2 linked regions of the Drosophila melanogaster genome follow. The protein of the gene in region 1 interacts with the protein of each later gene in a biochemical or structural test. Each region holds a gene or a part of one and is shown on either strand. Other genes may lie near its edges.

Region 1 (3,757 bases):
ACAACTGTAGAACGCTCAACATTGGAGCTGTCTCGAATAATAACTTGTTTGGGTGGAGCTGGGTAAATTATAGGGGGATAGGATACAATACTATTATTATATACTCCAACAGATTGTTTAAGGAACTCAAGTAACGAGCAAAACCATAATTATAGCTTCCTGTTGCGATTTCAAAGTCAATTACTCACATATGACATTGAGCCTAATGCGGCTGTTTATGGTCTGCGCTTTCAGGAAGTCCACGCGACATCTATAAGTTCCGGAGTCGGATGCTTGCGTATTCTGAATTGACAGTTTTCCCGGTTCCTTGTCAAAGATAAAATATGCTCTATCCCCAAATACGGAGTCGTCCGACCATCTTTTCGGTGCTTTGGATACTCCAGCTCGAATGTCAATGCTAAAGATATATGGATGATAGTGTTTCGTAACAAGCAGGTCAAGTAAACAAAAAACTAATGAAAAATTACAAAATTAGTTTTATTAGTTTACCTGTAAATTGGAGTACCCTTATCATCTCGGTACCACAGAACCAGCACAGGTTCATCACCATCATAAGTTGTTACATTGCAAGGAAGATAAATATTTTCACCAACTATAGATTCAATTTGGTGAATTGGTACTGGAAAAATTAAGTTATAATTTGTTTTTATTTTAAGCTAACCATTTAAGATTTGGAAAGCTAATAATATACTAAGAGAAAATATGTAGGTACATATATATATATTTATATATGTATATATCACATGGCCTTAGCCGGTTAGCTAAAAAAGATATGTTAAATCAACCAAACCGCAATCAAAAATTTTTGCTAAAGAAATCAAAAAAAGTTTTACAGTTACATTCATTAATAATTTAATCATGCTCATTTTTGGATACTATTTTTTAAGCATTCTGAACATTGAAGATACAAGTTTTGACTTACCATCTTTACTTCCGATGCTGGATTCTATAAGTTGAAGTGCTAGCATAAACAGCAGCAGTAACTCCATGTTGTATATTTATTGGAATAGCACTGGTTAGTTGTTGATTACATCGACTTAATGACTTTCATATCTAGTACGCTATTGGCCACTATTGCAGATTGGTACGTTTAATTGGTTAGAAGTTACATTTTATCATCTGAATTTTCACGGAAGATGAGCACACCAACACTTGTGCATGAGCACTCAATTACACATCTACACGGGATATAACATTGTATGTATAACACATAGGTTTATATATTTTGCCAGTAGTTGCGTACACGGTATATCTAAGTTAAAGGATATTTTCGAGGATATTTGATAGTCTCGTATTTCATTTAGCACTGAAAACTGGTTAATAATGTTTTGAAGATTACTTAAATGGTCACGGTTTTGATTTTATTCAACGAACAAGTATGTATGTATGCGTGTATGTCTTTTCGTATGAACTGGTATATGTTTGACAAAATTCCAGGATACACTTTACTATATCTTATTCTTGTATGCGCACATTCACAGGATATTGAGTGCGGTTTCACTCGAAATAAATGTATTAAGCCATGCTTGAACTACTGTTTTTTTTTTTTTAATAAAAACCAAGGTGGAAAATAACGAGCACTGGCAGAAAGTTATATTACTTTTCTAGCCGCGATGCGAAACTAACACGTCGAAATTCCATCGCACTACACCTGCAAACCTGGGCTAAAAAGCTCCTCCGGCGGGCGCAGGCGCTTCGCAGGAAGCTTTTGATGTAAACATTGCAACTATGACCTTTGTACATGTGAATGTACGTGCATCCGCTTGTCTCGCTCAATATAATCGTCCTTCTTTTCTCTGAATATGATGTGTAATTGGTCGGCATCGAAACTTTGACTTCATACTGCACTCATTTCGATATTAACCCCTATTTTAGATGTCCTTGTCCATAGGCTTGCGTGTCCACATCGACATCACTAATTTCACGCTGTCCATTGTAATCTATTTTAAAAACAAGCTGAAAAGTCACGGAGGCGTGCAGGTCCGACCTTTTAATGTACGCGAAAGTACATATACTGTGAAAGCTCTCCGGACGGACAGCTGCAATGGTTCTCTCGACTTCTCTCGCTCTGATGACCGTCTTATCCTTTTTGCCGGACAAAGAAACTGAAACCTACGCAGTCCGCCCATGGTATCTAGTTTCATTTCATCTGCGAGTACAGATACTTTCAGGCGGACGAGAGGTTCAAGTGGGGTTACGTCAAGGTGCATGAGACTAGAAATGAGACTTAGGACAGTCACTTACTGATTGCTGATATGATTACTTAATCATAAATAAATTGGTATAAACAAAAACTATTATCATGTCATTGTTTTTAAATACAAATGCCTTATAAAGTTAAATTGAGAATACAAGAAATGTAGTTATATTTTTTTTATAGGGGATTCCCGAACAAGCATTTGTAATTTTTTCCCCATAGATAGTAGTTGGAGATTATTTCGGATTTTGAAAAGATAAGGAGATCGTTTAAAAGTATATAACAAATATATATATATAAAAGTAAAAACTATCGATGTCCCGTCACGACGAATCGATAGTACCAGGACCATCGCTGTTTTCCGCCAGCACTAGTAACCTCTCATCCCTAAGTATTGTTTTTTTACTTTTATGAGCATCTAATTGTACCGACTTAAGTAAAATAATTAATTAAACAAAACCTAACTGAAACGTGGGAACAATGGTGAATGACTCTGGTCTATCGACAGTGGACGACTTGGAGCAAAAACTGAATTCGGCCAAGCAGTCGCTGGTGATCCTAAATGAAAACATTCGCCGCATTGCTGGTCGCGTCCCCAAGGAATCCCTGCAGAGGTATGAATCCAAGTTGTGCTTAATTTAATTAATTACTTAATGCCGCTGCATTTCAGATCGGAAAAATTCAAATACACCCAAGATGGCAAGAAGAACGAGCACAATGGGGACCGACCGTTCCCCCGAAATGCAACACCCGGTGGGGTCTTCAAAGACAAGCGGCGAATGTACGAAAGCAAGAATCCAATTTCCCGTTTCCCAATCGAAGAAAACGAGGGTCGTCCGCCACGGATTAACTCGCGGGTCATCCGGGAGATGCCAACTAAAAAGGAGATTGTCGAGGCACAGGGCACAGACTCTGAGTCGAGGGCCAGGAATCGCAGGATGTTCGGATCGCTGTTGGGAACCCTACAGAAGTTCTGTCAGGAGGAATCGCGACTGAAGAGCAAGGAGGATAAAAAGGCTGAGATCGATAGGAAGGTGGAAAAGCAGGAACTGCAGGAAAGAGCGATGCTGAGGAAACAGCGTGAAACACTATTCTTAGATAGGAAAAAAAAGCAATTCGAGATCCGTAGATTAGAGTACAAAATGGCCAGAATGAAGGACTTCAAGGTCTGGGAAGCAACTATGTTGAATGCGAAAAATAACATCCGAACAAAAACGAAACCACATCTGTTCTTTAGGCCAAAAGTGCATTCGCCTAGAACGGAAAAATTGTTGAGCAAAAGCAAAAGTGAAGCTGATGTGTTTATAGAATTCCGGCGCGAAGAATTGGAAGTTGAGCTTAAAAACTTGGAGAACATGAACTTTGGGAAGATGGAAGACGATACTGCAATAGACGAAAGTTTCTATGAAGAGCCTGACGACGAAGAGCAGTTGGATAAGTGTAAGTAAACTTCAGTTTGCACTAGGGCTTGAAATATGATCGTGCGGATATCGCTGTGTAGGGCAATTGGGTTTCAATTTATAAAACTTATTTATGAAACTTTAATTTATAATACAAAAA
Region 2 (3,757 bases), about 14 Mb from region 1:
CTTTAAATCAGAACGGATACCTTCTTATCTTAAACAACCATGCTTTTACGTCTGGAAATAGACTTTTTCCAACTACTGAATGGATTCTTCAGCAGGACAATGCTCCATGCCATAAGGGTAGGATACCAACAAAATTTTTAAACGACCTTAATCTGGCGGTTCTTCCGTGGCCCCCCCAAAGCCCAGACCTTAATATCATTGAAAACGTTTGGGCTTTTATTAAAAACCAACGAACTATTGATAAAAATAGAAAACGAGAGGGAGCCATCATTGAAATAGCGGAGATTTGGTCCAAATTGACATTAGAATTTGCACAAACTTTGGTAAGGTCAATACCAAAAAGACTTCAAGCAGTTATTGATGCCAAAGGTGGTGTTACAAAATATTAGTATTGTATTTATATAAAATAAAGAAATTCTTATGTTGAAATTAGATGTTAAGCTGAAATTTACTAAATTAAGTTGAGTGAAAATACTTTTGAAGCGCAATAAACATGTGAAAATACTATTGACAACTTGCATGCATATTTTCTTTTGCTTTAAGCTTTGTACTATGAACCGTTATCTTTCGTATTTCTTTTCGACTACCTTCTGCATAGATCAAGCTAAGCGATAAGAACTATTTCAGGCAAATCGGACAACAACAAGAAGAAATATAACAAAAAGAAGTTGAAGTTTGCAAATATTGTGCGTTGTGAAAATACTTTTGACCACCTCTGTATGTTTTCCCAGAGCCAACGAACTGAACTTGGTAAGTGTTTATTAAAGGACTTTGCCACAAAAGGACTAATCATTGGATAATCAAAAAATGATTGAACAAGTGTTAAAAATATTTTATAGGTAATCATTTTTCTCATGTTACTGAAAGTTGCAAGACTAGCGAACATATTTCAGTAATTTAAAGTGCCACACATCCATTGTTCAACATTTGTTTTTATTAGAGTTTTCCGAACTCAGCTGCCGGTGTAGTTTTACTTTTTCCTGTCCCTTCTGCCTCGTAAGTAAGGAAAACAAATAAATAAATTTCAGTTCTGGCCAGGGCACTCACTCTCACACACACACATAGCCACATGTGGAAATGTGTGTGTGAGGTTGCCTTTCATAAATTTGATATGTATGCGAATTCCTTTCGGTTGTGTGGTTGGGGTTTTGTTTTTTGTCAAGCGAAACCCATTTCCTGGGACTCACATGCTGCCACCAGGTTTCATCTACATTTGCAATTATTTTATGCTCCGCATTTGCCATTTCGTCTTTAATTAGATTTCCTGCCCAACCCCTAGCACAAATTTGCACTTGCCTTTGATGGGGCTTTCATTAGCCCGGCCTTGCGTGCCGTTTGTCTTGCTGGACGATAATTCCACTTTGGCGAACAAGGGCTGGCCAAAAAACACTTTAAGCCCTCTTCGGCTGGCTCACATGCATTTGCTATTGGGCTCTCGGTGTCATGCTGCGACATGCACTACTCGCCACGAAAACATGCAATTTGCAATGGCCATTTGCGCGACCATCAGTCAGTGGGACGCTAGAAACTTTAATTGCCCGCACACGTTTTAGCAAGCTAAGAAAGCTCGATGGAAAACACTGAGTAAAACTCGACAAAATCGCACTCGCCGCAAATGTGTTTTCGCGCCTTAGTTTTGGCCAAACTCTGACACACGAACGTGGACCTCAGACACCGAATGCCACTCGATATAATAGCCTTTCACCACGACGACGACCGCCAAGCACGTCCTTTCGCCAGCTCGTAACGAATTCAACTGAATCGCCACGGCCAGGAACAGCTCGATTTGTTTATGAATCGTCGTGTGCGCTTCGAGCCGAGTCCTCGGAACTTATTGTTCTGGGCGGCAGAGAGAGCTTTTTAGTCCTGTGAGTGGGGCTGCGAATATCGTAAAGTTAAGAGAAAGGGCATTTCTAGTGCTCTGCCCTTCACGCTCAGTTAAGAATTAAATTCTTGGTATGATACTTACTGCTTTACTTTCAAATTTTTGCTTTGCTTTAATTTGCTTTGTTTTAAAAAAGCATTTACTCTCACAATTTTTAGGGAAATCGTAGTTTTGAGTTCAGAGTTGATTATTAAAAATATAAATTCTTTATACAATTTAAGAAAGAAATTGCATATATTTATTCGTTTTCTGCTGTAATGAGTGAGAAAGTATTAGATGGAGAACAACATTTTCGTTTTCTTATTTTTACAATATAATTTAAAGCATTGCCGTAATTGTCAGGCGCAGTGACTTTCGAAGAACCATTTTGAATATCAAAATTTGGGAACACCAGCTCCCGGAATACAGGATTGTCCATTCCTATAGCTCCACATAGATGATCTAAATTGAACAGAGTACGCCTTTCCCCAAGTAGCAGGGGCCCTATCCGTATTCCTGGTCCCATTCTAGACACAAACAAAAACATTCACAGCAGTCGAACAGACAGCCCAAAGACACTCCCACACCAGCTGTGTGTATGCGGTTTAGTTGGCCAACCGCAAAATTCTTGGCAAACAAAATAAAGAAAACTAACTTGGGCCGAAGCAGAGCAGATCCAAGCGGCAACGGAAATTGTTAACCTTTGGGGATATCAAACATTTACGATTGCGTGGCAGCGGCAGCAACATTTAAGTTTTTATCAGCACAAAATAAAGTTTTGGTTTACGGATTGTGTTCCTGTCCGCCAACGCTCCTCCTACTATCCACCACTTTTTGGCCAGAGGCAGCTACAAGTGCCCAGGAGCCAAGACAGGAGCAAAATTCAGGAGCAGAAGCTGGATCAGGGGCTGAAGGTTCGTCCCTGTTGATTCTGGGGCACGCAAAACTTTTATCCTTTTCAATTTCGTTTTTCTTCGCCGAGTACTTTTGAGGGATTTAAATTTCTGTTTGCAGCCGAGCCAACAGCGAAACAACAACCGTGGGAGTGGCAGCATCGAGTTCGTGGCGACCAGGTGAGTGTTTCTTGTTGGCCTAATCACGGCTTTGCCGACTTGGCCACAATCAAGCACAATGCGATTGGCGCTGCTAATTTGACTTGAATGATACATAAAAAGGTGTACGAAAAAAAATTAGGAGGCTTATGTGAAAATGTGATGGTAGAAAATAAGTATATTTTTGATTAAATATTTTTAACAAATAGTATTTTTTAGTCTAAAAATAATTATTTTTCAGCCGTCATGAAGAAGAAGAGTCGTAGAGATCGGACACCAAAAGTAGAACAACCTGAACCATCGAGAGTTGTCAACACGGAGCCTATTCGACTGAACGTGGAACCCCAATCCCAAGAGATAGATGACCAGGCTGCACCATTTATTTTGGTAGACTGTGCGAAATATGAGGATCGTTCAGATTTGGAAGCAATGCTTAGTTCCATAGAAAAGGAACGGATGAAAAAGGTTCAGGCAGATATAGAGCAGCAATATTTTCCCCTCCTGGAGGATGAAGAACCACCTCCAGAATTAGATATGCCTATAAACCTAAGCTCTCAAGCATTGGCTGTACTGAATGATGCAGATAATGAGCGCCGCTTTAAAGAGGATCTGGAGAGCCTTAGTATTGCTGGACTGGAAGAGAAAGATACATCCATTAGCATTACCAACATGAAAATAGAAGACAGCAAACTATTGTTTCGGACTATGCCAGGTATGAATCAGATTTGCTGCACGCTAGAGCAGATGAAAAATGTTCATGGGAAAATTGGACCAGCAGAACCAACTCCACAGGCACGTTGCACCAGCTTGATTCCACTTTCAGGCCTTCGCCGGCAAGACA

What was found. Proteins that work in one complex are often made in the same cells at the same time.
Region 2: the proteins of side-VII (region 1) and beat-IV form a complex in vitro, tested with the Drosophila melanogaster proteins (one study listed by BioGRID).

The regions. Positions count from the first base shown.
Region 1 is NT_033777.3:9,738,332-9,742,088, forward strand, and holds the start of side-VII (sidestep VII), read right to left. Parts: upstream 1,649-3,757; 5' UTR 990-1,648; coding exon 923-989; intron 620-922; coding exon 490-619; intron 398-489; coding exon 189-397; intron 59-188; coding exon 1-58. Other genes in the region: Pnn (pinin), read left to right, coding at 2,678-2,811, 2,868-3,637.
Region 2 is NT_033777.3:23,555,413-23,559,169, reverse strand, and holds the start of beat-IV (beaten path IV), read right to left. Parts: upstream 1,759-3,757; 5' UTR 1,297-1,758; intron 1-1,296. Other genes in the region: CG10164 (uncharacterized protein), read left to right, coding at 3,163-3,757.